Notamacropus eugenii: one gene and its partners. The protein of the gene in region 1 interacts with the protein of each later gene in a pairwise test. Links are inferred from orthologs where the notes say so. Each region holds a gene or a part of one and is shown in the gene's direction. Other genes may lie near its edges. The genes, in order: KCTD9, SYT6, GEM and TRIM42.

Region 1 (7,181 bases):
GAAGGGACTTGGCAAGGTCAAGGTAATATAAATAGGATCCTACTGATAAGGTTGGGGTGTTGTGCCCGAAAGTACTCACACCCCCAGGTCCTGCTAGAATGAGTTCGACTCCAGACTTCTTAAAACCAAAGTTTATTAAAGATTCGCCACCTTGGGTTGCCTCTTAAGGAGCCTAAGCATTTGTAACGCTTGCACTCACCAGGGGGCCGGATAGAATCTCAGCTAGACGAAGTCTGAGCTGGATGGAATCTGAGTGCCTTCATGGAGGCGAGATGGAATTTATATACAGAAAGTCCGTGGGAAAGATCTAGAGGGGGTCTAGGGGTCTCCTAGGAGGGTCTAAGGAGGATCTTGATGGGATTGGGGTAACTAATGTTGTGATCCAGGGTGGGAAACAGCTGGAAGCCAATTCTGGATGGGATGTAGGTGGGGCTATCGAGAGGTAACCGACAATGGAAGGCCAGGCTAGGCCTAGGGCAACAGATTTGAGTATGAAAGGCCAGATTAAGTGGGAAGATTCAGGGGGAGTTCAAGGAAGTTCCCAGAGTCTGAACCTCATCTTTAGGATTGTAGATGTAAGACTGGAAGGGGTCTGACTCCATGTAGCCCACCCCTCTCATTTTATAGATGAGGAAACTGAGACTCATGGAGATGAAAACTAGCTTACCCAACAAATATAAACTTCTGGCAATTAAAAACCCTTCCCAACATAGCTAGTTTTCCAGGCATATTACATAGAAGTCCTTTTCACCTGTTCCATGGTTCCTGCTCTGTCCCTCTTAGGATCTTAGATGTAGAGCTCAAAGGGACTCATCTAGTGAAAGGGTAAAGTTTAATCATCCTCCCCTCCCCCCCCTTTCCCAATTTGGTAGGTAAGGACACAGATCCAGGCAGGTTAAGTACTATCTCCCCTTCTCATTACTCCACTTCTCATCTGTGCCTTTGCCTTGACCACCCTCCACATCCAAAATGCCCTCCCTCCTCACCTCTTAGAAACTCTCTTCCTTTAAGACTTTGCTCCAGGGCCGCCAGTTCTGTCTTGACTTTTCCTTACTCCTCCAGCCTCCTCCTCCAAAATCACCTTGTCTGTTTTGTATGTTACTGTGTTTTGGATATTTGCATACACATATATGTCTATACACATAGTATCTTCCCTCTCCTGTAATTTAGAGAGTTGTCTGGGGCCTTGGGAGATTAAAGACTTCTGGGATGGTTGATACTTTGGGCCTGACTGGTGATACAAAGACAAAAAATGGAAACCTCTCTGCACTTACAGAGCTTCTTTTCCTCTGTGGAAACAATGAATCCACTTTTAAGCATTTACAAAGTAAGGGAAAAGTCTTGGGGGAGGGGGAGGTGGGCGTGTCTCGGGGAAGAGAGGCCTATATATGTTTGCATTCCCTGGAGAGGCTTCTATTTCTTGGTGTCATATTTGAGATAAAGAGGGCCAGAGAGAGATAAGTACTGTAGTTTGGCCAGGATCCTTGGACTCTCGTCCTCTCGATTCCCAGGCAGGTAGTCCTCTCTTTCTACGGAGCAACCACCTGGCTCCTCTTGATTCCCAAGTTCAGTGCCTGAGTGGCCTGAGTTTATTTGGATGGAGTATGACAGGATCTCAGGTCCAGACCCAGACACTGCTTAGTTGCAAATCACTGGAAAGATTTCTGGTTTTGGAGTCAAATGGGTTAAATCCTGCCTCTGCCACTACTTTGTTTTTCTTTAGTCATTAGTCTCTTCTTGACCCCACTTGGAGTTTTCCTGGCAAAGATACTGGAGTGCTTTGCTACTTCCTTCTCCAGCTCATTTTACAGATGAGGAAACTGAGGCAAACAGGGCCAAGTGACTTGCCCTGTGGTAAATGTGTGAGACTGAATTTGAACTCAGGTCCTCCTGACTCCAGGCCCAGTGTTTTATCCACTGCACAACTGAGCTGGTTTTGGCATATCACTGTCATCTGAAAATGTATGGGTTTGGACCTCAATGACCTTCTAAGGCTCCTAGATTCGTGAGCCTCACCTCAATCATTTCACCATTCATGTTCCTGCTCTGTAAAACACTGATATTATGTGCACTGAGAAGGGATAGTAGAGGCTAGGGCCCTCAGCTTGAGAAAGATTTCCACTTCAGTTTCTTCAGATAATGTCTGTTTTCTGGGCTAGTCACTAAAGCGCCCTGTGCCCCCTGAGAACTGTCTACGGTAGCTAATCTGCCTTGGGGGATGGAATTTTCTCCTATTGTATTCCCTACAGCCACAAAATCTCTGGCCTGAACCTGGGAAATCCACCTACCTTTGAAGCAACTCTCAAAATTTTGCAAGCCCTATGCAAATGTGAACTGGGTTGAGTGTCATCCTGTGCCTGAGGGTTACAACAGGGAGTATAACTTTCTGGCTGGAAGGTAGGGGGAGGGGGAGCACGTCTAGATGAATGTACTGCGATCCAGATGCTGCATGCTCACAAACACCTTGGGCGCATTGTGCTGTTATATCTCCATTTTACAGGTGGGAAAACTGAAGTAGAGAGAGGTGAAGTAACTTCCCAGCATCACACAGCTAGTAAACTACCAAGACCAGATTTGGATTTAGTTCTTGCTGACTCCAGGTCCAGAGTTCCATGCACTGTGTGGCCAGCTGCCTTCCCAGGATATTGGGTGTTGTCTAATTCACATTTTGCTTTTACACGCTGGGAGAACTGAGAGGTGAAGTGACTTGCTTAGGGTCACACCTGTAGTTCCAGTTGCAGAGCTAGGATGCTGAGCCCCAATCCAGTATTCTTTCCAGATTATTATTGGCAAAGGCAGTGGAGGCCCAGGGCATTCTCAGAAAGAGAATCTGGCTGTGAGCTTCCAAATAGAGGAAAGCCTCAGGACCATAGGATGTGGATGCAGTGGGAAGAGTCCTTATTGATCTTCTAGGGTTAGGGTTTCCATATTTATCTGTCACTAAACTGCCAAGCTGGCCAGAGTTTGGCTTGGTTTGTCAGTAGCTGAGGGGGTATCATTACTGATGAGATAGAGGTCTCTTTGGGTCTGGCTTGGGGCCCACAGCATGAAGCAACAGGGAGGGCAGAGAGCCACAAGCTGTTTGGGACGCAAGGTCTGAATCACTGTTGTTGGTAGACTCTTCTTAAGATTTTTCTTTAGCTCCCTCCCCTAACAAACCAAAGTTAATGTGATTCTTTTATAGTTTTTTTTGTCGTTAGATTTTTTAAAAACTTGGAGTGTGTGTAAGTTCAATTCAACCTAAAATCAGATCGCAGCCCCTGGCATTTCTTAAATTCCTTATAGATTCTGCTATTCTACTGAGGCCCAGGGGGATACCAAGAGAGGCTAAAGACCATCCTGCCCTCTAGGGGCTCACTTTCTAATGCTGGAGACGATATGTAAATATCTAGGTTTATCCTAGAGTCAATGCAGAGTAGATAAACATAATGCCAAAGACTGGCACAGGACGGCTCAGCATGGTGGGCCCACATCAGAAAGGGTGCTGTGCTCTATGAGCAAAACAGAGTTTAGACAGCACAAAGGAAATGTAAGATGCCCAAATTTGTGGTATTCACCCCAAATGACATGGACTGTCTGTGCCTAATATGTAGTAATTCTGAGCTCGTATTGGTTTGATCAACTGCAGTAGGACACACTGAAATTTGACTTAATCATAGTGATGTCATTTTTGTCCTCTTTGAGAACGAAGGACAACAACCAACCAAGCATCTGGGTTTATCCTGGAGTCGATGCAGAGTAGATAAAGGTAACACCAAAGACTGGAAAAGGCCTCCTGCTTCAAGTGGGTTTTGAGCCAGTCCTGAAGGAAGCATTCCAAGCTGGGGCACAGCCCGTGCAAAGGCTCTGAGTTGGGAGATGGAGCATATGAAGAATTGCAGCAAGGCTCCTGTAGCTGGATTGTCAAGTGCTTAGAGAGGATTGAGGAGCCAGGAACCGCCAGAGTTCATGGCCGGAGATGAGGCCTGACCTGTGATTGGTGGAAGGCTAGACTGGAGTGGGCAGAGATGAGGCACAGAGATTGGTTAGAGTGCTGTTGCTGTGGGCCTGGCTGCAGGTGATGAGGACCTTCACCTGGGGGAAGGAGACACAGCAGGGATGTTGTAAAGAGGAGGTTTTTACTGACAAGACTGGGCACATTATTGAAACCAAACGTTTGAGTCAGACACAGTATGTAAGTATCACCGTGAAGCTTAAATCCTGTTGGAGGGAAGAGGGCTGGGGGTGTGGGGGAAGAAATCTTTGGCTTGTTTGGTTGTCATCTTCTCCCCAATTAACTGTTTGTGCCCCTTGTCAAGGTGTGACATCTAACATTTATTTTTCCCCCAAACCTCTACTATCCATCGCTAGAAACTGTTGGTCTTTGGGAGGAATATTTGTTTAATAATACATTTGTTAGGTCCCTGAATGGCAGAAAGGAGAAACTGGATTATTAGACGTTGTCCATGTATGGCCAGGAAACATTTCTAAAACCAGGGGTGTTTTACACCTGGTTAACAGATTGATTTAGAACCATCCTTTGTAGGGGAAATGCATTCAGCATTTGAACCACAACTTGTTTCATTGACTATAAAGCTGTTTTGCTTCCTCCTTGAGCTGATATTACTATCTAGTGTAATTCAAAGACCAGGATTATGGGTTTTAATGAAAGTTCTTTGATTTTCATAAATATTAAACCTACACATAGTTAAAAAGTTAAGTTCTCTCTTTGAACCTGACTTTTCTTTTTGTCCACATAAGTCAATCTTTTTCAGTGTTCAAATTTACCTTCATGTTGCTGTTTCCAAATACAAGTATAAAACCAAACTAACAATGAGGTGGGTTTTTTTTTTCAAGGTCATTGTTCATCATTTCCTAGAGTATGGGAATGAAATGTCTCGTTGAAGACAATTCTGTGCCACTTTCATTTGGCCTAAAGTTTTCATCCTCTTTGACCTTCTTTTTGCAGATGCCTTTTCCTATTATTCAAAATATAGAACTATTGTATTGTCACTGGAAAAAAATGACTTAGTACATCCAGAACCACAAAACATTTTTGTCCCTAGAAACAGGCCTCAGATCAACCTTTTACTTATCTAACATCTCTGGTATGTTACTGCTGGTGAAATGCCAACTGGCTAGGCAAAATCCAAGGCCTGATCGTGGAGACTTTAACTATATTCTTCATTTCCGTGGAATCACAGAGGTTTTGTTTGTTTGTTTTTAAGTTTTTAAATGCCAAAATTGAGGCATTGTCTGCATATATTTGTTCAAGGGTGTTGATTTTCTTTTAAAAGGTCATGAAGCTTTGGAGATTTTGGATTAAGAATAAAAACTTATTTAATTTTTTTCACTTTTTCAGAGAATTTTAGGAAAGTAATTAGCATTTCTCAAGTTTTGTAGTAGAATATTTCCAGATGTGGCTAAATTTATTCCAGAGGGATTACGCTAGTAAAAGGTGGAGACAATTGATATTGCAACAGAGCCTCAGAAATAAATCACACTACAAACCTTAAGTAACCTTTTTGTGTAAAATACCTTAAGATTTCTTCTATCAGAAAAACTATTTTTGAAAAATTTTCTTTTCATTTAAAAAATAGTTAGCAATATGGAAATGTTTTATATGACTGCACATGTATAATCTATATTAAACTGCTTGCCTTCTCAAGGAAGGGGAAGGGCAAGAATTTGGAACTCAAAATTTTAAAAAATCAATGTAAAAATATTTTGCTACATGTAACTAAAAATATATATAAATTAAATGAAAAAAAAAGAGAAATGATTGGCAAATGAAAGTTACAGGTTCTTTTTTTTTTTTAATGAGACCAAAAACTACCTAGCTTTGTTTTGTAGATCCGGGTGACATTTGTGTGAGCATGTTTTTGGTCCAGCGAAGAACTCTATCTCCCTCCCCCCCCCCCAGCCTTTCGCTCATCCTAACTCAAAGGTGAAACCATCTTTTTAGTCACCCTGACTCAAATCTGAGGTGTCATCCTTGACTCTTTACTTTCATTTCCTATATCCAGTCTATTGCCAAGTGCTGTCAGTATTATATACTTCCCCCTTGTCTCCTCTACTACTTGCCCCCACCCTGGTACAGCCCTCATCACACCTCACATCTCATCTATCTGGTTGGTCTCACTTTTTCAAATCTCCCCACATGAATCCCTGCTCCACTCACCTGTGATCTTCCTAAAACTCAGGTCTGACCATGTCACTGCCCTACATGATAAACTTCTGTGACTCCTCTCACCTTCACGATCAAATATAAAACCAGTCCTTTATAACCTGATCCTCTCCAACCTTTCTAGTCATTTTACACCTTACACCTTGACGTGGGCCCTTTAATCCAATGACTGTCTCTTCGTGGCGCTTCCATGAACAATCCATCTCTTGGCTCTGGGCATTCTCATGGAAGGGGAGGGCTGGACTGCCCTCCTTCCTCATCTCCTCCTCCTAACTCCTTTCCAGCTAAAATCCCACCCTCAGAAAGTCTCCCCTTGATGCCAGTGCCTTCCCTTTGTTGCTTACCTTCAGTTTGTCCTAGATTTATCTTGTTTGTGCAGTTATTGGCATGTTCCGAGCTTCTCTAGGGCAAGGAATGACTTCTGCCTTTCTTTGTATCCCCAGCTCTTAGCACAATGCAAGCTTGGCACATAGTGGGCATTTTATAAGTGTTTATTGACTGACCTATGATTTTATTTGTGTGTGGAACTCCCCTTTTGGAAACTCCACCCACTGGTGCAGATTGACCACTTTGGGGTGACTCACAGCTTTAAAAACGTTACATGGGGCATTGAAAAATTTGCCCATGGCTATCTAGCCTGTGTGCATCAGAAGTAGATTTGAATCCAACTCTCTGCCTCCAAGACTGCCACTCTGTGGTGCCTCTAGATATTTAAATATTGCTTTACAATCACTTTACATACTGTGACTTGTGATCCTCTGTGGATTCCTGTGAAGTAATAGTGTGCATTTTATCCCTATTTGACTTAGGAGGAGACTGAAAATTCAGAGGTTAACCAGGCCGTGTGCCATTTATCATTCTGTCACACAGCCCTGAATGTCATGTGGGGCTCCGGCCTGACTCATCTCCATCTCCTTTGATCCAAGGGCTGTCTATCACTGGTCCATGCCACCTTAGTTCTCTAGGAAAGGGGTGAAATTTAGCTAATGTTCATAAGATGATGTAAATTATTCAT
Region 2 (7,968 bases), on another chromosome or scaffold:
GTCATTGGAACACATAAGTCTCTTTGGGAAAAATGGTTCAGTGGAAAAGAAGATGTCATTTGACTCTCTTGTATTCAAATGCATGCTGTTTCTATGACCTTTATGGTATAAATAAAACTGTTCTATATTTTGAAGCTTGTGTGTCTAAGTACTTGTAAGGGAAACTCATGACCACACTTATTGAAGTTCTCAAGTTCTATCATTTTGTAAAAACTATTAGGTGTACATATATGTTTATATTTATTTACATATATATTTATAAATAAATTTGTAATGTGCATATACTTACGTTTATAAATATAACATATTTATCATATCAGATATAACATGTTATATTATTACTTGATATATCAAATAAAATATTATGTTATTTATATATCTATATCTATCAATGTCTATGCTTGTATTTATTACACACACACACACACACACACACACACACACACACACACACACATACATATATAAATCTCAAAAGTGTACCCAGGGCCTGTGAGTCAAAAAAGAGCCTCTGAAACTAGCGCTATATTATACTCTTCTAGTTTGCTCATTTATTTATTTGATACATGTCAACTCCCCAGATCAGTAATTCATTTCGAGTTCTAAGTGACAAAAGTCACATATTCTATTTCTTCCAGTCCCTGAGATAAGGTCCTACGTAACAGATGTGCTAAATCAATGTTTTTGGCTGACTATTCCACAGTCCCTTTGCCCATCTCAAAGTCAGTGGATTTTGGAACTCAAGGAGCTTACGTCTCATGCAAAGGAAGTTTGGGGATTGGGTGGTGAGAAGTCATTTGTTCTTCACCCTTGAACAATCAGGGAAGATTGACTGGCTAGACAGATTTGCTCTTTCCAGGGGATCCAGCTCTCCTTTACCTCCAAGGTCCATTAGGCCACCAATCAGAAGCCTGCTTCATCAGAACTGCCTAAATTCTGCTGAAATCAAAGATTAAGACTTCCTCAGTTTGACAGGGCCTTTCCAGATTTGTCACTTTAATTAGCTCTGGCATTTTATCTGGTTTATTTTCATTAGCAGAGCAGCCAGAGTCCTGACATTGCAAACTCTCTCCCTGCTCCTTAGGGAAAATTCCAGTCTTTGAGGCCTTGTTGTTACAAGAATCTCATCTTGGCCCTTTCCAGGAAACTGGTTACATTGACTATGTGAAGCAGCCCAGAAATACCTGCCCCAACTCCTGACTCTACCCTCTTGGACTTCAGTCCAACAGGAGAAGACTCATTCAAGAACAAGGTCACCAACTGTCCACTTTCTCTGAACTGCAGGACCATGGCTGCAAGGACCCCCTTGGATCTGGCTACCAGCCTTCTTTCACATGAATGGTGCCATCCATCACTGAGATTAAGAGAGGTTATGTAATATATTGGAAAGAATACAGGATTCAGAGGCAGAAGATCTGTGTTTGAGTGTTGGCACTTACAAAGTGTACTTTGAGAATCCTAAAGTCTATATTTAAGCCCTGACTTGGCCAGTTCCTACCTTTGCCTCATCGGACTAATCACTTCCCCCTTCTTAGCTTCCATTTGCTTATCTGTAAATGGGAATATTGACCTCTCTCAGTCTCAGTTTTCTAACCTATAAGGTAGGGATAATAATTTCTTTCACTATCTGCCACATAGGGATATTATGAGAATCTCATGAGAAAATATATATAAAGTGATTTGGAATCATAAAATATTATATAGATGTGAGTTCTTAAAGAAAACTCAAATAAACAAATCAACCCAAATCAAGGGAATAGACAGGGTCAAGGCCAGCCACAGGCAAGACCATGATGTATGTAAAATTTGTCTTCTGATCCTTTCTCATTGTTCCCTGAGGAAGGCTCTGGATCTCCAGGCTGTAGCTGGCCTGGCAAGAAACCAAAACCTCAGAGGATTCAGATCTCATCTGAAATGAGAGGCAAATGTGATTAAGTGTGGGTTGAGAACTGGGGACCCTTCATGGAAGGGAGCCAGAGCTAGATTCCCCAGGCTAACTCTGTGACCTTCTAAGAATCCTTTGTACTTTATCTAGAGGTGAGAGGGGTCCCTGAAAACCCCACTTTGAAGCCTGGATTATGGGGATTTGTTAAGTCTGTTTTGTAGAGGGCATTGGATGGGGCTGGCATAGAGAAAAGATATTCTTTCAAGCAGAGTTGAGAACCTCCACCTGTGCCCTGAGAGCTATATGCTGATTTTAGGGCTCAAATGTTGAAACATAATAGAAAAGGACACCAAAACCATTTCTACTGCCATTAATAACATGTACAGACTTGAATCTGCCACCATTAAGAGCCCATTTCCCACTACCACATGTTTTCTCAAAGGAAAAAAAAAAAAGCCTTGGCAGAAGTGACCTCCAGGTGACTGGAATGTGTGACACCACAAGGGTATAGGGGTGGATGGGGGCCTAAAAGCTACACAGGGCAAGTCAAGACTTCCCTTTGGTTCAGGTTAGAGCACTGTAATTCAACGGTGTGTGTATATGCTTGTGTATGTGCGTGCATGAATGCATGCATGCGTGCGTGTGTGTGTGTGTGTTAGACAATCCCAGGTACCAACATCAGACTGTTTCTTTTAACTCTGTGCTGGGGGCTTAGAGGGGAGAGAGGGAGGGGGGTAAGGGCTCCCTATTTATAAATCACATTGAGAGAGAAAGACAATATGACACATCAGCTCATGTCAAAGAAACTGTTCTTCCCACCCACCACAGCAGCGATTATCTACCTGGGCTCCATTTGAAAAAATATATATTATTTTATTTTGGCAAAACTTAACAGGATAATACAGGATGGTTCTGTGCCCAGCAGGATGTCAGGGAATCACCCCCAGGGCCTGGGATTAAAGGTGGGGGAGGAGAGGGAAAGAGCTCTGCACTTTGGGCTCCCCTCTCCCCCATGGTGGGACACAGTGACCTGAGCCTTTAGAGGTTCTGCTGATTTCCCAGAAGTATGTCTGAGCTGGTTTGACTTTTCAGTATCTGCTCTGTGAGAATCTGAGGCTCAGAAAGGTTCACCCACAAGAGATTGTGAACAATTTACAGATTAGTTGAGAGAGAGAAAGAAAACAGGCACAAGGAGAGCAGTGCTCCCAGCTCTGAGATATCCATTCTGCTGCTTCTAGACCAGTGTAAGTAACTATTAAGTAGCCTTCAATCTCCCCTTACCCCTTTATCTTTCTATTCCTTTTCCCCTCCTCCCATCCCATCTCCCAATTCTCCCAGAGTAGGTGGGTGTGGGTCAGGGGACAAGCAACTCCATCCCTGCCCCACCCCACTCCCAAGACTCTACTAAGTCACCGATTGATTTTAATCTGTCTCAGTGAAAGGTTGACACACTGGAAGGTCCGTATGCTGACAAAAATCACAGTTTCTTTCACAATCCATGCGATCTGGTCATCCTGACAAAATTATGGTTACTGTAGTCACAGACTTTTAAAATGTGCTCAGGAATTATCTCACAAACTCTCTGTTTCTGTTTCAGAGATCTTTGCCTGTCTCCATCTCTTTATCACACACACACAAACACACACACACACACACACACACACACACATATCCCAAATTCAATAGCTATTGACATGACCACAGGAGCATCAGAGCTTTGAGTCTTCCTACAGCAGTGTCAGGGCAAATGTTTTTTCCCATTTAAGCTGAGAATTACCAGGTCCTGGCTGCTGCTGTGACCGCAGGAGACACTGCAGGTCCCAGCTGCCTGGTGTGGGGGATGAATCCAGGAACAATGAAAAATTTTCTCTTAATTCTCTGCTCTCTGTGGCTCCTGCCGCCTTCTCTGCTCCAAAAAGGCTCCTTAGCCTTCTGTTTAGATGCAAATTCCCTGACTAGTTGTAAGCAAAATATTGATTTCCCTGCATCACAGGCCTTGGCTGTTGGTGTGGTCCTGTGTTGTTTCACTCTCTGGAAAAACAAAACAAGAGCTTTGTTCTTCCAATTTCCCCTGTAACTGGGGAAGGGGAGGAGAAATCTGAGAATAGTAGCATTGCTATAAACACGAGCTGAACTACTCTCTATGGCTATTTTACATAAATACATAAATACTGATACTCCATTCCTGAAGAAGCTAATGAGCAGTTTGCTGGGATGGGGGTGGGGGGGAGAGTAGGGAAGATAGACCTCGGTGAGCATCTGAATCCTTGTCTCTGGATTGCTAGCATTTGGAAGTGGAGGAGATACAAATAAGCTCTCTTAACACCTTAGTTGGGCCTTAGAGACATGGGTCACACTCCCAGATATCGAACACACACACACACACACACACACACACACACACACACACACGGCCTTGTCTGACTTTAAACAGTAAAATGCCACCAGATCTCCCCTCCAGGAAAGAAGACTTCCCTGATTTCAGGGTATGTTAGAGTTGACTATCTTCCTGCAGCATAATCTCCTTTCTTTAGTTTCTCAATTCCCTCCGCATCCTTCCTCACCCTCCAACACCCCCCCACCCCACGCAGCCACTGTCACCCATACCTAAGGACCAAGGCAGAAAGGTAGTCCCTTCCCAATTATCACGTACCTAGCTAGTCAAATCACATTATGAACTCAACTCCATGCTGTTCTGAGACACACACACACACACAGAGAGAAAGAGAGCGAGAGAGCGAGAGAGCGAGAGAGAGAGAGAGAGAGAGAGAGAGAGAGAGAGAGAGAGAGAGAGAGAGAGAGAGAGATCATCAGCACCTTGGACAGAGGTGGGGCCCCAATGGGATGAGGACCAAGAAACCTTAAAAGCTAGATGAAGCCTTTTTCTCTGGTCCTTGCAACCCAACTATTTCCCCCTAGGATGGGACTGCATAGCCAGCTGGGAAATGGGGGACTCTGATGGGGGGGGGGTGGGGGAAAGTCAGAGGAGAGCTACATTTCAAAAGGGTCTGCCTGGGGTGGGGGGTGGGGTGGGGGATGAAGGGGTTCACAGATGGCGCGTGCTGTTGTTACCGCCAAAAGCCCTCGCCGAGAATCTCAAAGCTCCGGAACGTGAGTCACAGCCCGAGCCACTTCCAATTAGTGTGTTAATTAGAAGTAAAGACCCTCCTCCCACAACCAGCCCGGGAACAAGCCAACCCGTGGCTTCCGGAGGCTACCGCCAAAGAATGACTTTCAACCGCTAAGAAAGGAAGTGAAGACCATGGCTAAAATGCCAGGCACAGGACCTCGCTTCCACTCCGAGAAAATGGATCGTACTCTGTTGAAGAAGAGATTCGCACCGTCTCATCCATGCCCCTGTCTCTGAACAAAGTAGCTCCTCCCCTAACCCACACCGTCAGGCAGCCGCAGAGTAGATCTCTCCAGAGCTGAGAGATTTATCTCCAGAAAGAGGGGAAGGGGTTAGATGGATGGAAACGTCCTAGATTCGTTCAACTGGTGCTTAATCTCTCACTTCACTGTGTGGGGAAGTTCTTCGTTTTGTCTAACCTCAAGCCCTACCGTAATATTTTCGGTCTGTTTCCATCTTTATGGTGAAGCTTCCCGAAGATACGTGGGAAATGAGGTGCGATTCGATCCTGAGGGAGGGGGACGGACTTGAAAAAGGACGACCCGGTGAAGTGTCGTCTCTTCCCGCCCCCCCCCCCCCCCCCGGCCCATTTCTCCTGAAACTTTTCCCTCTCGTTGCCATGGAGAGAGACAGCCGATGCCTTCTGTCGCCATGGCAACGAGTGGGTGACGCGACCAGCGGATTGCGGGGTTCTAAAAGCCCCTGAACCCCAGTCCCTCTCCTCGCTCCACAGTCCTGGGGTGAGGATAGATTTCCCTCTTATTAAAAAAAAATACTGCAAGTTTAACCAACTTCCTTCGCCCAGCGGCCCGAACCCCTCCCTCAATTCTGTTCTTTTTGAGACCTGGGAGCCTTGGGTTCCTAAGATATGCCCTTAGGATCCTACTAGTCCTGGACTTAATCACCCTTTATTTTTTTTACTTCTTTAGCCTCCAAGGCATCAATCAGTCTCTCCCTCTTTCCAACCCACTCCCCAATGACACAGTACTCCGACCAGGACCAGACCAGACACTGAAACGTAAAGAGGGTGCTGACGAGCGGGAACTGAATTTCTCTGTGGTGTCTGTATCTCACTAAGGGGCGGAGACCCCGTAGACAAGTGGTTAAAAGCCTAGACTGGCAAATGCAAGTGCGGTGACTCGCCTGGGGCTGTTTGGGGGAGGGTCTTCTTGCGGACCCGCCCTGTCCCGCCCCAGCCCGACAGCAGCTGGGGACCTGGAACGGCTGCAGGGAGCTGGGCGGGACGGGACTAAAGCCACAGTGCACTGAACAGGGAAGGGGGGAGGGTCCGGGGCATGAGCAGGGTGGGGGGGTCCGAGGAGGCGAGGTGCCAGGCGGCGCTGGGAATCCTGGCCTCGCTATGTCAGGGGCAGCCGCCCCCCCAGGGTCTGGACTTGGAGACTTGTCGGAGTTTCGAGCTGCAGCCCCCTGAGCGGAGTCCGAGTTCTGCAGATACAGGTAACTGGGCGATCCTTCGCCCTCCCCTACTTTCCCTGCCACAACCCCTCTTCCTAATGCGGAGATTCTTTTTCTCATACCTTCCCTCCCCTAAGAGCAAAGATTAGATTGAAGAGGAAGGAGCAGACATTTCTTTCCATCCATTCCCTTAGTGCCATGCTCTGGATTCGGATCTTGCCAGTGTCAGAAAAAAGGGTGCTGAGGAGTGGGGCTGGTGGGAGGGGGGGTGTTGTTTTTTTCCCCTCAGAGTGCGACTCGGAAAGCTCCTAGTGTAGAGCTAGACTCTTCGGTTTAGTTCGGGGACCCTCTGCAACTCGGGAACAGCGCTCCAATGTGCCTCAGTTTCTTCTCTCTGAAGGATGGGGAGATTCTGTTCCCACAAAGAGAAGGCAAAATACCCAGGGAAAGGTCAGAAGAAGAGATGACAGACCTCCCCAGCTGCAGAGAGCTTTGTGTCTCTGTCTCTGTTTCTACATCTCTGTCTCCCGGGAGGTGCAACTGCCCCCACCCCCACCCCGGACGGTAGCTAGAAACTTGCGTTGACTCTGTGCCTCCATCGCGGGTTTTGGTGTACCAGTGCCTTTTTCTGGCTCGGTCTATTTCTCCGTCCCCGCGGGGGGGTGGGGGGGGCGGGGGAAAAGGAGGGGGAAGGGTGTCTCCGCGTCCCCGTCCCACCCCCTACCACCACCACCTCTATAACTCGCTCGCGCTCTCTCCGTGACTCACTCGGACTCGGGGCCGGTGCGGGGACTGAGCCGGTTCCTCTCTGACTTTCGGAACCCGGCGCCTTAGTTCCAGTAGCCCCCAGGATCCGACACCCAGAGCCGGCCCCAGAGAGGCTGCGGAGCCAAAGCGGGAACCCGAGCCGGGTGAGTCCCGAGCCCGGAGCCCCTACGCTGGGGCCCGGCGGCGGCCGCAGTGGCTCGGCGGAGTCGCGACAGTGGGCTATGGGCAAGCTAGTCACCGTGGGGGACTTTGTGGTGCCAGAGCCTGGAGGGGGAAGTACTGGGTCTAGAGTAGGAGGGGGCGTTTACCTGGGTTTCTGAGGACCTGATGAGCTTCCTGCAGTACCCCCCCCCCCCCATCTCGCAGCCCTTGGTCTGCAGATGTTGATTCTTTGTCCAGATTCCAACATCTGGTGGGGTGGCAGCACAGCGGGATATAAGACTTAAGGTGGGGGTACTCGAAGGGAGCGAGGAGATTCGAGGTCGGCCCTTCCACACCTGCGAGTAGCCGAGATTCTCAGTGGGGAACTGGGGTTGGCTCGGAGGGGGTGTCGGGAAATTCTACAGAGATGAAAGGAAGACTGGGGGTCTATCTCAGCTCCCTAAGCCCCACTTCCCTCTCCTAAGTCCCTGGAGGAATGGGGGTCATTGTAGAGCAATGGGGGAAAGCTCTCAAGGCCTCACCAGTGTGTCTGTCTACACGGTGCTAGTAGATAGGTGCAAGCCAGGGAGTGAGACAGGGGTAAGAGAGAGAAGCTGAAATTAAAATC
Region 3 (7,623 bases), on another chromosome or scaffold:
TGGGCACATCACTTAACTCTGTTTGCCTCAGCTTCTTCATCCATCAAATGAACTGGAGAACCAAATGGCAAACCATTCCTATATCTTTGCCAAGAAAACCCCAAATGGGGTCACAAAGAGTCAGACACAACTAAAACAACTCAACAACAACAAATGAGTACACTATTATGTACCCACAGGAGTTACAAAGACAAAAAAAAATTGTCCTTGCCCTCAGGGATCTTCTTTTCCACTGGGAGAAGGGATATGACTGGGATATAGAAAAATAACTACCAGGAACAGCTAGGTGGCATAATGGATGGAGTTGAGGCCCTGGAGTCAGGAGGTCCTGAGTTCAAATCCAGCCTCACATACTTACTAATATGATTCTGGACAAGACATTTAATTCTAGTTGCTGGTCCTTCTCCCCCCCCAAAAGGTATGCAAATATATGCATTAATTTCTTTGCAGGGTAGAAGTACAGTAATAATAAGGGGGATCAGAAAAGACCTCATAAAGCACCAGAGATGAACCTGAAGGGAGTGAGGGATTCCGAGAGGGAGAACATCGTAGGCATGAAAAACAACCTACATAAAGGTATGGAGCTAGAAAATGGAATGTTTCATATGGGGAACAGCAATTAGGCTGTTTTTGTTTAGTTTTTTTAGAATATCAACTATGTGAAGGCAACTCATATGAAATGTCTGTAATGATAAACAGGAGCCAAACTGAAAGGCTTTCAGAAATTTCCATTTTGTCCTTGAGAGGAGAGGATAATGCTGTGAATCATAAGGGCTGGGTGGGTCCCTGGGCTGTGTATTGGAAGTGTTGCTCAAAAAGAAACTGAGCAGGGGCTCTTGATTCTTTATGGGCTTAGATAGGAGTCCTTTCTTTTCCCCTCACTGTCTAAATAAAATTTCCTGAAGTTTTGTGAGCCAAAATGCTAGTGAGGGAATTGGTGAGGTGCCAGCAATGTGAACCCTCAAGTTCCATGTGGGTCAGAGCAGTGAGGAAGATACGTGAGTGGCCCCCAAAGAGTAGCCGGATCATTGGCATCAAGACAGAGCCTTTGAGGGGAGGGTTACAGAGGGAAGCACAGGTTTACTCTGCTTCCTGTCTTCCCTCCCTTCCTTTCTCCACCTCCATTACTATACAGGGGGAATTTTCTGTTAGAATGTTATGGAGCCATCAGGATGGAGGCTGTGTCTAGAATTGTGCCTTAAAGCATTGTAGATGCTCAATAAAAATATGTCAAATTGGATTGAATTGAAACTCCACAAATAAGAATTCTTTATGAGATGAATGGGGCTTTTCCCTCTCTTTTTAGTGAATAAACCTGTGAAGATGGTGAAGCTAGTTCACAAGCGAAATTTAAAAACCCCCCACAAAGAACAACCCTTAACAAGTATATATTTCTGTGTTCTCTGCTCCTGGCAGAAGAGTGTGTGTGTGGATTGTGGTATGGGGGCATGGTGAGGTAAGTGTGGATGGGGAATTGGTCTTAATGAAGAAGGGACTTATGAAGGGATACTTGCTTTGCACAGAAAGTTGGAGTAGATGACCATTAATGTCTTCTTCCAACTTTATGATTTCATCATAGAAGATGGTTTTCTTATCGACTTATATATGCAAATTAGCTTTTCTTTTACCCCCTTTATTTATTTATTTGTTTTTGTTTTTGTTGTTGTTGTTGCTGTTGTTGTGTTCGTCCTTTGTTGCCAAAGACCATGCCATCAGAGAAATGATGACATGACTTGCACTTGACTTTGTTTTGAGTGAGGGAGGGCTGTGCAGGTCACCAGCCTCACTTCTCCCCCAGAGCCAGATATTCATCAGGATGACTGGAGAGAAAAACTTTTGAGTTTCAAATCTCTTCCTCCCTTTTTCCCCTTTCCCACCCAATGAAAAGGCAAGCAATATGATATCAATTTTACACATGAAGTCAGGCAAAACATATTTACATGTTAGTTATCCCCCCCCAAAAAAATAAAAGGCAAGAAAAATAAAGAAAGTGAAAAAAGTACCCTTCACTCTGCACTCAGAATTTATCAGTTCTCTCTCTGGAGGTGAATAGTATTTTTAATCATGGACTCTCTGGAATTGTCTTGGTTCCATTGTCTCAATCAGAGTAGCTAAGTCTTTTACAGGTAATAATCATGACAATATTGCTGTTACTATGAGCAATGTTCTCCTGGTCCTGCTTCACTTTGTATCAGTTCCCCAGATTCTTCTGAAACCATCTCTCTTCATTTCTGATAACACTTAAATTAATTCAGGCTGCTTATTGGAAGGACAAATGCTAAAACTGAAGCTTAAATACTTTGGTGACATAATGAGGAGACAGGACTAATTGGAAAAGACCGTGGTTTTGGAAAAGATTGAAGGAAGAAGTAAAAGGGGACAACAGAGGATGAGATGGAGAGATAGTATCAATGAACATGAGCTTGGACAGACTTTGGGAGATATTGGAGGATAGAAGGATCTGGTGTGCTATGGTCCATAGGGTCAGAAGAAGTCAGACACAACTGAACATCACAATCATTTATCATGATTTGTTCAGTCATTCCCCAGCTGGTGGGTAGCCCCTCTATTTCTAATTCTTTGCCCTCACAAAAAGAATCATTATAAATATTTTTTGGTCCACATAGGTCCCTTCACTTTTTCTTTGTTCTCTTTGGGGTACAGACCTAGTATTTATCTGGAGATGTCCACATCAGAACAATTGGAAGTCTGGAGTGAGAGAAAGAAGCCTAGAAGAATGTTTTCCATGTCCATGGGTTAGAACTGGTAGCTGCAGAGTTGTTATCTGTAATCAGTTATTGTCTTTTAGTGACTGCAAACTCAATATGAGTCAAGAGTGTGACATGGCAGCCAAAAAAATAAATGTGATTTTCAGCTGCCTTAACAGAAGCATAGTGTGCAGAATGAAGGATGGGATAGTTCTGCTGTTGTACTCTGCCTTAATCAGACACCATCTGGAATATTGTGTCCTGTTATGGCATGCCACGTTTTAGGAAGGACACTGATAGTCTGGTTGCATGTCTAGAGAATGGCAAGTAGAAAGTGAGGGGAACTGGAGACCATGCCATAAAAATGTTAGTTGAAGGAAATGGAAAATATTTTCTAAGATTCTTGAGAGTTAGATATTGTTTCATATTTGCTCTTGTATCCCCAGCCCCAAGCATGGTGTCTGATGCAGAGTAGATGCTTAATAAATGCTTGTTGATTGATCTGGAGAAGTCTTTGTGGAGGGAGCTTGAGAGATATCTTAAAATTATCTGGAGGAATAGCATATGGAAAAGGGATTAGATTTATTTTGTTCAGTCCCAGAGCCACGACTCGTAGCACTGGGTGAAAAATGAAGAAAAGCAAGTTTATGCTCCATGTAAGGAAGGACTCCCCTCAATCAGAACTATTCAGAAGTGGACCAAGCTGCCTTAGAAGGTGGTGAGGTTCTCATTGATGGAGACCTTTCAGTGGAAGCTGTGTGATCACTTGCCAGGGAAGTGGTTCAGCAGATTGCTGCTCAAGCAGGGTTCTATTAGATACCTCCTTGAAGTCCTTTCCAAATTCTGACATTCTGTGACTTTTGGGACTTTTGGGACTGTTGGAATAGAATCTGTGGTCTATAATAGATGTGTATGACTGGTTGGATAGAAGAAAAGATGTATTTGAATGGTGTTTCAATAACTCTTCTCTCTTCAGCAACTAGTCATTCAGGATAATCCACAGTGCAGATAAATCACCCACAGATAACCAAAAAAATTGACTGTAGTTTCCTTTAAATTGGAGGAACATTTGAACTTGGCTACTGAGATAGCTGCAGTGCCTTTTGGCTCCTTCTACAACTCATTGGCCAAGCCAGGAGCAAAGTTAGCTAGAGGAAAAGAATGATACATTGAAAATGTCCTGAGTCATCTCCCAATAGGGCATCTGGGGAAATTCAGGTGTCCTCTAAGAAGGGATAATTTAGGTGCATTTGCCTGTAGATTAGGACTGACATCACATGCACACTATTCAAAGGAATCCCTTAGGTGCCTTGGGTTGAAGGAGAAGTCATTCCTGCCCCTGGCTAATGGCTTTGGCCTCACGCCTGAAGTACTGATTGATGTGTCTAGGGATTATTGCAGAGACGATGATGATGACTGAGGTTCTGATCAAATGCCCTGACGCTATAATGCCCTGCAACTGATTTCGGGGGTTTGTCATCTAGTAAGGTGGGCAGAGGCAAGTAGGGAGGGTCAGGGGAATTTACCACAATCTGTTTGGATATCTCATTGTTTCCTTCCCTAAACCGTCCTCTTTGAAGCTCTCTGTGTCTCCCCTTCTCCCCCTTTTCCTCATTTTCCGCAGAAAGAGCAGAGAATCATGAATAGCTCCCCGGCTGTCCCCACTCTTTTTTTCTTGGGCCGAAGAGGGGGTAAAACGAGACACGAGGCTGTTACTTCCATCAGAAGATGCGGCTAAAATAAATGTTTCCCTTCTCTTTCCCCCTCATCCCCCTCTTCCTCCCACCCTTTCTCCAGGTGGCTGCAGATTCATGATTCGGAGGCTGGATGTTCCAGCACCTAGGGCTGATCGATGCTGTCGTGACAAAGCAGAATGAATGGAGCCCCAGCTCCACTTTGCAAATCAGCCCCGAGCCTTTGTGTATCCTTCATCTGGGCAGCTCTCGAGTACATTGCCGGGAAAGACGATTAAGTGACACTTGGAGTATTTTTCCATTTTCTTGTTTTCACCTTGTAAAAAAAAAAAAGTCACAGGATCTGCTTCCCTGGCACTCTGGAAAAGCGGGTGGAGGTTTGGAGAGGGAGGGGGGAAGAAAAATCATATGACTGCAAGTAACTGATTTTGTGTTCGTTGGGAGCGTCTGCAACTTTGGGCTTCTCTGCATACCCGTTTCCTCCCAGCGGGGGGCCGCCTGCTCTGTGGCCAGGGCAGTGACGTCACGGAAAAGCCCTGCCTGATCAGATGTGCTTAATATAAACCTGGGGGAGCCGAGCAACGGCTGGAGAGAGTCAGCCAGTGGGAAGGAGAGGAGTTTACTCCAGCAGAGCGGCGCACCAGCCTGCGCTCACTTGCTTGCTCGTTCGTTCGCTCGCTCCAGCGTGAAGAAGAGATTCCCCAGGATCCCGCGGCTGTCTTGACTGGAAGGGACTGTGAAAAGTCAGGTAGCGTGTGTGTAAGTGTGTATGTATGAACACTCTTGGGAGGCTAAGCTGGAACGTGGGGATCTATCGGAGGCCAGAGCCCCCTCTGCAGTGAAGGGGTGCGGATGGATGGGACGAGGATGCATGGGATACGCGGCTCGGGGAGTAGTAAATGCGGCTTCCTCTGCCAACCTGAACTTTTTAAGTAGTGAAAAGTGATCTTAGAGTCTATGATCCAGGCTCGAAATGTTCAAAAAAAGAGAAAAGAACTTAAGATGAGGATAATGACAATTCTTTTTTTGGACAGAGGGGAATGATACTATTAATTTGTACCAATTTTCAAGGCAGATGGGCAGACGGATGGTGATGATGTCTTGTGTTTCTCCCCCTCCCAGCAAAAACAAAGCAAAACCAAACAAAACCCTGCCACTTTGGCTTACTGTTCTTATATGTCTTTGATCAGCTTGTCTGGAGACTGATAACGCCTGTAGTGACTTCTTGGTCAATGTATTTCTTGCTACCGAGAATGAATTTTGCGGAGGAAAAAATGTAAATGCTCCACTCTAGGTACTATCTGAGTTCACAAAACTCCAGGAAAGAGGAAGGGAGCTACAATACAGTAGCCTAGAAGCTGTAGTGGACTTGTTAGAGTGCTGATCATTCTACAAATTTTATAGTTAAGGAGGGATTTTAGAGCTCAGGCAATCCAACCCCCCTTGTTACAGATGAGGAAATTCAGACGAGAGCAGAGAAATGACTTCCTCCAAGGTCGCACAGCTTGGAAGTGTGAGAAGAGAGATTTGAAGTCATTCAAGTCAAATACCATCCATTACTTCCTCATGTCTTTCTGATGCCCAATGGGCCATTTTTTTTTCACTATCTGTTTTCTATGATTGAGGCTTCCAGAAGATTAAAAAACTTCGTTTAATTAATGAGAAATCTCAACAGGACTTAGTGAAAAGCCATGTGCATGGGCATGTTTGATAGTTTTGGAAGCAACTGAATGCACATTTAATGCCAGAATAGTGATCATCAGGGTGGTGTATTTTTTTTAAAGGCATGCCAGTGAGCAGACAGCAATGTTGAGGCATAAACCTCAGAGAGAAACATTAAAATAATAGCCTCAGCAGCTGGAGAGCATCAAAGCAATGTGACTAAACATGGTAGTTCCAATGTATATACTGCTCAAGCAGAAGGGCAATGATGTCATTGCCGTAGGTTTCCAACCAAGGCAAAGCAGGCTGATGGATAGGTCAGTGCAATTAAGTGCAGAATGAGCTGGAAAGATAACTTGGTCCCTGGTCTGCTGCTCCTCAGAATCCCTCACTTGTGGATTTAAAGGGAGTAGGATTTTTTTTTTTTAGTGTGTTTGTGACTTTGACATCCTTAGGATCAACTCATTATTAGCCCTCAGGAGCTAAGAAGCAGCTTAATATGGTAGAGAGAGCACTGGGTTTGGTGCCAGAGGTTCTGAAAATCACTTGACTTCTCTGTGCCTTAGTTTCTTCTTCTGTAAAACCAGTGACTTAGAATACATGACTTTCTAATTCTAAAAGTATGACCTATCTGGGGAGTACTCATCCCTCTATGATCCATCCGTGGTGCCTTTTCCCTTCCCTTAGAAATGACACCTAGAGCTGTTTCACTGCCTGAAATAGATGAGAAATCCTACTCCTAGGAGTATGACTGAGCAATTCAGACTTGGACCACTCAGAGCTCAGGTTTGTTTCATTGGTACCTTGTTTCTTGGGGATTTGTAGTTCTCATTTCATGAAAAAAAAATGGATGAAACTCCAACTACATAATCCTGGTGTTCTGTTTGCTCCCCAGGAACCAACAATGACTCTGAACAATGTCACCATGCGCCGAAGCAGTACGGCCCTGCAGGCACAGCAGCAGCGCTGGAGCATCCCTGCCGATGGGAGGCACCTGATGGTCCAGAAAGACCCCCACTCATACAACAACCGCAACCGATACTCCATGAACCCAGAAGACTATTACCGGCGAAGTTGGTCATCTGACTCCACAGATTCAGTCATTTCCTCTGAGTCTGGAAATACATACTATCGAGTGGTGCTGATTGGGGAACATGGTGTGGGCAAGTCTACCCTGGCCAACATCTTTGCAGGTGTGACTGACAGCATGGACAGTGACTGTGAGGTATTGGGAGGTAGGTAGTTAAGTGTTGAACTGTCTCTAGTCAACAGGCCCACATCAGCATTAAAGCAGAGCATAATAGCTGGGCTACTTATCAGTAGGGTTTAGAACTGAGATAATTCTTCTTGCCACTAACTGGTATGTAAAAGTCACAAGTCTCTGGTTCAAGCCCTGTGGACCAGAAAGAGTAAAATAACCATTGACAAAGATCAAAATCTTCTGAATCTTGGCCAGAGATGGGAATGCTTGGATTCCAAGGTTAAACAAAAAAGAGAAGTGAGGTCTAGTGGTGAGACCCAAGGACATGGAATCCTATTTCCACTTTCCATAACTGTGT
Region 4 (7,695 bases), on another chromosome or scaffold:
TCTTGACTTCCCAGCGAGATTAGGAATCATATCTTCTTTCTCAGAAGGAGTAACCTTCTGAGTGAAGGGGTAGGTATTGTATGCAATTTGGCTACTTGGTGCTGGCTTCCAAATTTATGTTTGTTTATGAGGGGAGGGCAGGGGAAGGGAGGGGAGGAAAGTGGAGGGAAGTGGAGGGAAGGGAAGGGAAGGGAAGGGAAGGGAAGGGAAGGGAAGGGAAGGGAAGGGAAAGGAAGGGAAGGGAAGGGAGAGAAGGAGACAGTAAAACTCAGTTCAACTGGGCAGCTTTTGGCCATCCAAATTTACCTTAGTTTGGAGAGGAGGTTAGGGGAGAGAGAGGCAGACAGGAGAGAAGGAGGTGAGGTACCCAGCTAGCATTCAGCCAGCTGCATCTACTCACAGGATCGTGTTAGTCCTTCATTGCTAAGAAGACCATACCATCAGAAAATGATGACATGACTTGCACTTGACTTTGTTTTGAGTGAGGGAGGGCTGTGCAGGTCACCAGCCCCACTTCTTTTCCACAGCCATGTCAGTCCAATGACCTGATGTTCTTCAGGATTACTGGAGATGGCCCAGGATGCACTGGGAGACCTTGGGCCGTTTTAGGCCAAGGTCTTTGCAGGCACTCACTTAGGGTGAGGCAATCCCCATTCATTGAATAGGCCTGTTTAAGAAGTAGCCAGGGCATGGCCCTTTTAATGAGGTCAAGAAAAATAAAGACATCAGGTTGGGTGGGAAACAGCAACAGTTACTACTGATAATGACTGTGAAGCTGGGGGGGCTCCAGAAGCCCTTGGCAAGGGCTCTTTGGAGTCCCAGTTTCAGGGTGTAGTAGGTTTAAGGTTTTGGGAGAAGACAGAGGAAGGGAAGGGAAGGGAAGAGAAGAGAAGGGAAGGGGGAGGGGAGGGGAAAGGGCAGAGGAGGGGGAAAGGAGAGGAGGAGAGGGGAGGGGAAGGAAGAGGAGGGGAGGGGAGGGGAGGGGAGGGGAAGGAAGAGGAGGGGAGGGGAGGGGAGGGGAAGGAAGAGGAGGGGAGGGGCGGGGAGGGGAGGGGAGGGGAGGGGAGGGGAAGGGAAGGGAAAGGAGGGGAAGGGAGGGAAGGAAGCAATAAAACCCAAGTCAACTGGGCAGCTTTTGGCCATCCAAATTTACCTTAGTTTGGAGAGGAGGTTAGGGGAGGGAGAGGCAGACAGGAGAGAAGGAGGTGAGGTGCCCAGCTAGCGTTCATTTGTTTTGAGTGAGGGAGGGCTGTGCAGGTCACCAACCTCACTTCTCCTCCAAAGCCATCTGAGTCCAGTGACCTGATGTTCCTCAGGATTACTAGAGATTGCCCAGGATGCACACAGAAAGAAACTTTGTGGCAAACTGTGCCAAGGTTCAGTACTTTTAAAAATTCTTGGAAAGCGCATTAACCTGGGCTAATCTTAAATATATTCGAATTGGGTCATGTATCTGAGAATCTCTCACAGAAGGGACTACTTGGCTGACCTCAGGTGAATATGCAATCAGGGCGTTTTAAAGGCTTTCAAATGCTGTACAACTTACAACCTAGACCTGGAATGTGCTAATAAGGGACCCTTCAGATGTCTGGAAAACAAAACGAAGCTCATTTCTTCCCTTTGTTTACACTGCCCGGAATGTGTGGGGCTCTCCCGGGTGGAGAGCACTTGACTCAGAATGGGATATGCGAAATGCAGATGCCAAATTAGGGACCTCTGAGGAAACCACTTCCAAAAAGGGCTATCTTAATTTGACCTATAGAGTGCAGTGAATAAAGAACTGAGATAGGAAATCTGTAGATCTGGGATCTCATTTTTGATTGGCTATTGGATAGCCTTGGACAAATAAGCTCACCTTTGAGGACCTCATTTCTTCAGCTGTAAAAAGACAATTGAACCAGTTGATCATCAAGATCCCTTGAAACTCTAGTTCCTAAAATTCTATAGTACATCTTTTAATAGGAAGTTAGGTTAGATAACCTTGCACATCCCTCCTAATTCTGGGATTCTATGAATTGAGGAGGCAGATCCCTTGCATTAAAGTCTTGGCCCAGTTGACTTTTTTTTTTTTTTTTTGGTATTTTACCATATTTTTATCTTTTTTTAAAGTTTATTTATTTTTAATGTTCCACAATCACTACCAAAAAGCTTATATTTTTACCCCCCGCCTACCCTCCACGACTCCCCTCCCTCCCCAAGATGCCATACAATTCTATATATGATGTACGTATACTTTCCTATTGAATATGTTTTCACTACAGTAATGCTATATAGATGAACTAAAATAAATGGAAGAAACCATATAAGAAATCAAAACATAATACACACACGCACACACATATATATACAAACAAGATCTGCTACATTCTACAAATGAATTCCATAGTTCTTTCTCTGAGTGTGGAAGGCGTTTTGCCTTAGAAAATCATTGGGAATTTTTTTTTTAAGTTCTTGAGTTATTATGAAGTTCCAAGTCTACCAGAAAAAACTCTCGCACGCTGTGGTCGTTGCTGTGCACAAATTTCTCCTGGTTCTGCTCCTTTCACTCAGCATCAGATCATATAAGTCTTTCCAGGCCTCTCTGGAGTCTTCTTGTTCCTCATTTCTTATGGCACAAAATTACTCCATTACATTCATACACCACAACTTATTCAGCCATTCCCCAACTGATGGGCATCCCCTTGATTTCCAGTTTTTGGCAACTACAAAGAGTGCTGCTATAAATATTTTTGTACATGTGGGACCCTTTCCTGAGAGACTTCTTGATTCTCCATACTTCTCATATCCTAGATTTTTCTTTGTTGCATTCATATCTCAATATCATCTCTACTTGCAGAAGCAAATATGCAGATAGAAGAATTACCCTGACAAAGATCTGCCTTGGATAGGTAGATCTGTGAATCTTTCCAGTTTTAAGCTTCTATGAGCCTCTTATTCTGAAAAGGATTTGACTATGCATCATACAAGTGATTTAGGTATCCCTTATACAAAAGAGAAAAATTCAATTTCAACAAATATGTATTAATCATTTTCAGACAATTGTAATGGGGTTGATGCAATATGGAAATGAAATAAAATTTTTGCCCCATGGAGTTTAGTAGGGGAATATGAATGAAGAATGTGCAAATGATTGTAACACATAGTGATGATACTTGAGAAGTGCACGCCAACTTGGTTTTCATGGGCGAAGGGAATGGGGAAGAGGGGTGATTATCATTATTGACTAATGAAATCAGGCATCGTTTAAAGCAGAAGAAACAAAAATATTAGCCCAGATCTTGAAAAGCTTTATTTAGAGTTTGTTTTACTCCATTATTACTTAAAAGAAGAGGAAAATCTGAAAAATGCACCTTTTGCTTAGCAGTTGTGATGTTCATACATTATAGACAAAAACTCATCAATTGACTGATGTTCATCAGGATCAGAAGTTCTACATGGAACGACACCAACATTTTTATCAATGTCAGTTCCACCCAAAGTGGAAACACTTGCAAAGCTTTCATTTTTGCCCGGATCAACAGATACAATGTGATGGTACGATTGATTCTGTGGTCCCGTCTATCTTACAGCTAAAAAAAAAAAAAATCATTCTTGGGTTTATAGTTGTAGTTGTTTTTTGCAAAGCCTTGTTAGTAACTCTGTTAGATCTTTTTGAAAGGGCTTGAAGTACCTACCAGGCCATTCCCTCTAGGCTCATGTTGCTGATATTGGGGTTTCCCAGTTACCCATACCTCAGCCTCTCTGGTGGAAGTTTTGGCTCAATAGTTTAACTTGTATTTCTATAGAAAAAGAACAATTAGAGATTCCTTATGTTTTCAATTCATATGGTCTTAGATTCAGAGATGCCATTCTAGTAAAGAGATTCTTAACCTAGGGTCCCTCAACTGCTCCAAGTGTCCCTAGATAGATTTGAGGGGTTCATGAACTTGGAACTTTTAATATTTTGACAACTATCTCAATATAAGTTGTTTTCTTTTATAATCCTATGCATTTTTTCATGAATTTAAAAACATAATTATGAGATAGGCTTCACCAGATTGCCAAAGGAATCCATGAAACAAAAAGGGTTAAGAACCCCTAATCTAGTCCAGCCTCTTCATTTTATAGAAGAGAAAACTGAAGCCCAGGAAACTGAAATGACTTGCTGGTTGCAAGGAGCCAGGATTTGAACCTAGGACCTCAAATTCTAAATTCAACTCTCTTTTCTGCTGAGAGCACAGTTATGGGGAAGCCTAGGCCTTCAGTCCACTAAGTCATAGCCCAGGAAACCCTGTATGGCATCCCCAGATGGTTTACCTGAAGCACAGGCCTAAGTCTGACAAGGAATTAAGCAATCCAAAGCCTAGCCTTCTCAGCTTACATACTACATGGTGACAGCAAAAGATCACCAGTCATTTTATTCACTTCAATCCCACAGACTGGCTGATTGTCCATGGAGAATGTGCCTACAGGCACCTGCAGCCCCACAGTGTGGTGAATTAAAGAGGGGAAAGAGGGATTATGACATAAACAATGAACTCAGTCTTACCTATGAAAATGCCCATCTGTCCCTTGGCATCCTAGTTGTAACAAACAGGTCATGGACTTGAGGAAACCAAGCAGCTGGTCTTTTTAGAGATAGAGTGTGCTATCAAATAGACCTTGGGACTCTGGAAGAGGGTAACATTATGAACCACATGTAGAAGGCAGGGATTTTATAGGAGTCATGGATGAATCAATGTGCCTCTTTTCTCCATGCTGTCCATGGGAGCATATCTTACCCAAGTCACGCATGTGCCTATGCATGAAGTTTCTTCTCACTACAGAAAGGAACTGCACCTGTTGCCCCTGCCCATATGAAGATGATGGGGTATGCCAGTTCTGTCACTGTACCTGTTCAGATGCTCCCAACTGCCACTGGTGCTGCTGCTCCTGCGCCAATGACCCCATCTTCAAGTGCTGCTGTATTTGTCCACCAGGCGCATCTACCTGTCACTGCTATGAGGCCCGCTGCTGCTACAGAGGACCTTTCCCTACTGACTCCCCGTAAGTACTCTAGGAACCCATGCCCAGACTGATGCCCATCATAACCTGCTGAGGCCAACTTCATTTTAGTCAATTCTGCCAGGATTTGTTTAATAAACAACTTCCCTAACAAAGCAGAGACCATCATGACTTCCTTCCCCCCAGCCTCTTGGGAATCATGACCCTTCCTTTCTGTATCACTCACTGGCTAGTGCATGACTTTTCCAGGTCTATCCTCATCCTTCAAGGCCCAGTTCTGATTCCTTCCCCTCTTGGCAGTCTCCCTAGACTATCCAAGTCTACACTGTTCTCTCCTTCAGGAGATACTAAGACTTTAAGTTAACAAAGACCTTAAAGGTTACCTAGTCCAAACTTCTCATTTTACATATGGGGAAATTGAGGCCCAGAAAGATTTAACTGTCTAAGCCTACACTGTTCTCTCCTTTAGGAGATACTCAAGTCTTTCAAGTTAGAAAAAACTTTTAAGGTTACCTAGTTCCAAGCCTTTCATTTTACATACGGGAAACTGATGCCCAGGAAAATTAAAGTGGTTTGTCCAAGGTCATGAAAAGTAGTAAATAGTAAGCAGTAGAGTAGACAATCAAACCCAGGCCCTCTGACTCTAAATCTACCTTTGAAAATGTTGAACCACTCTAGTATACTGCTCATTTCATAGGATCATCAAACTTAGAGGTGAAAGGGACCTTAAAGGTCAAGTTATTTCATCTCATCTTACAGATGAGGAAATTCAGACCCAGAGAAGTTACTATGCTTGCCAAGGTAACACAGTAGTCAGCTAGTCAAGACTTGAACTCAGGATCTCTGATTTCAAAAACTTTGGCATTTTGTCTAATCCTACCAGTGGTTATCAGTAATGCATGCTTTCATCTTGTAATGTTATTTGGGGGTTTTTTTTTGTATATTTATATTTTGTCTCTCCAGCTAGAATACAGGCTACTGGACAGCAAGCATGATGCCTTTGATTTCTTGGTATTCCTTACAGCACATTCCTAGATAATGTCTAGTATGCCAGAAGTACTCAATTAAATAGTGGTTTTAAATTATTTTTATTTAAAATTAATTTGAAAATTTTTTAATCTGAAAATTTAATCTATCCTACTTTGTGATGTCTAAAAAAAAACATTAGGCTAAACAACATTGCTGGGAGTAGTTAGTGCCACAGGAACAATGTTAAAATGTTTTAGAGATAGATTCCTGGTTGACCAAAATTTAAATTACAAAAGATTAAAAAAGTTCTTAGAGACATAAAACTCTAGATGTAGGATAAAAAGCCCTGGACAGATGATCTGGGTTTGAGTTACAATTTACGACACTTACTGACCTCGATCAAGATACCTCTCTGTGTTCCAGTTCCTTCATCTTTAAAACTAAGTTTGAACGAGATAAATCCTAAGGTGCTATTATGTTCATCTTCACAACTGTATTACTGACTCAACTTCCCCACCACTTCCCTCTTCCCCACCCCTTGTGTGATTCTCACCTAGGTGATATCTCACCTACATGGAGGTGATCCTTCACCTTTATACCTGTCACTGTCATGTTCACTTTTCAAGTCTCTGTACCTCACACAACTTTATACCTTTTCATTCCTCCATCCACAATACTAGGAAATGGAGTCAACACCATTCATCTCAATGAGGAGAAACCAGTAATTCTGTATATCTACCCTTTTTTCCTCATCCTAGCTAGAAACTTGAAAAGGACAGGTTTTCACAGGAAAGGAAGAAAGAGCACAGAAGACTACCCCCGTTCTGACTGATTCATTGATGCAATCTCTTGGGCCCACCTGGAAACTATTTTCTGAATGACCGTTAAAGACACTGTTGGGCTACTATACACAGGGTGTGTATGGGGAGTTGTGTCTTAAAGGATTGATCCTAAAACCTAACAGCAGAGTTTCTTACATTAGAGTAGGATTTTATTTTTAATATATTAAGAATACTGAGGAGCAACTTTCACTGGGGAACATTATGGGATATGTGTCTAATTGTGTTAAGTGCATAAATCTCTAAATTGCAAGCTGCTTGGTCTTTTCCACCTAGTCCAACATTTTGGACTATTAAGTACTCAATGAATTTTTAAGGCTCTCCAAACATTCATCTTTGCAGATGACCCTGTGCCAAAAATATCACAGGGCCTTCTCAGTGAGACTTCATGGACATTTTTAAAAGAAATTAACACACACAGGAGAAAGAAGAACAAATGTCCTAATTAAGGCATGTAGTTGGATGGGCAACCCTATTGGATTAGTATATCAGTACCTATATCTCATGAAGGCACTCCATGCAGATGAACAATAAACCAGCTTAACTGAATGGGGCAAGCTAGGTGGTATGATAGAGTGCCAGGACTCAAGTCAGGAAGACTCATCTTCCTAAGTTCAAATCTGACCTCAGACACTTAGTAGCTATGTGACCTTGGGCAAGTCACTTAATCATTTCTGTTTGTCCCAGTTCATCTGTAAAATGAACTGGAGAAGGAAATGGCAAACTACTCCAGTATCTTTGCCAAGAAAACCCCCAAATGGGGCCATGAAGTGTCAGACACAACTAAAAATAACTTAACACACAATGGAATGAGAGGAGACGAGATGGAATATATTGCATGTGGGTAACTTCATAGTACTTTCAGGTTGCTACCTGCTGCTAAAACCCATCTTATTTAATACCA

The links.
Region 2: the proteins of KCTD9 (region 1) and SYT6 interact in binary tests that used the Homo sapiens proteins (3 or more experiments, as listed by UniProt). The two-hybrid records come from large-scale screens. The link is inferred for Notamacropus eugenii from reciprocal best matches to the Homo sapiens genes KCTD9 and SYT6.
Region 3: the proteins of KCTD9 (region 1) and GEM interact in binary tests that used the Homo sapiens proteins (3 or more experiments, as listed by UniProt). The two-hybrid records come from large-scale screens. The link is inferred for Notamacropus eugenii from reciprocal best matches to the Homo sapiens genes KCTD9 and GEM.
Region 4: the proteins of KCTD9 (region 1) and TRIM42 interact in binary tests that used the Homo sapiens proteins (3 or more experiments, as listed by UniProt). The two-hybrid records come from large-scale screens. The link is inferred for Notamacropus eugenii from reciprocal best matches to the Homo sapiens genes KCTD9 and TRIM42.

Annotation. Positions count from the first base shown.
Region 1 is NC_092872.1:743,223,932-743,231,112, reverse strand, and holds the start of KCTD9 (BTB/POZ domain-containing protein KCTD9), read left to right. Parts: upstream 1-3,987; 5' UTR 3,988-4,060; coding exon 4,061-4,174; intron 4,175-7,181. UniProt on the Homo sapiens protein: Substrate-specific adapter of a BCR (BTB-CUL3-RBX1) E3 ubiquitin-protein ligase complex, which mediates the ubiquitination of target proteins, leading to their degradation by the proteasome.
Region 2 is NC_092873.1:293,290,213-293,298,180, reverse strand, and holds the start of SYT6 (synaptotagmin-6), read left to right. Parts: upstream 1-4,930; 5' UTR 4,931-5,510; intron 5,511-5,677; exon of another isoform or gene 5,678-5,755; intron 5,756-5,944; 5' UTR 5,945-6,310; coding exon 6,311-6,473; intron 6,474-7,160; exon of another isoform or gene 7,161-7,342; intron 7,343-7,968.
Region 3 is NC_092875.1:158,863,700-158,871,322, forward strand, and holds the start of GEM (GTP-binding protein GEM), read left to right. Parts: upstream 1-4,505; 5' UTR 4,506-5,150; exon of another isoform or gene 5,151-5,161; intron 5,162-6,751; 5' UTR 6,752-6,787; coding exon 6,788-6,850; intron 6,851-6,959; coding exon 6,960-7,299; intron 7,300-7,623. UniProt on the Homo sapiens protein: Could be a regulatory protein, possibly participating in receptor-mediated signal transduction at the plasma membrane. Has guanine nucleotide-binding activity but undetectable intrinsic GTPase activity.
Region 4 is NC_092876.1:325,567,278-325,574,972, reverse strand, and holds the start of TRIM42 (tripartite motif-containing protein 42), read left to right. Parts: upstream 1-4,575; 5' UTR 4,576-4,705; coding exon of another isoform or gene 4,706-4,835; coding exon 4,836-5,025; intron 5,026-7,695.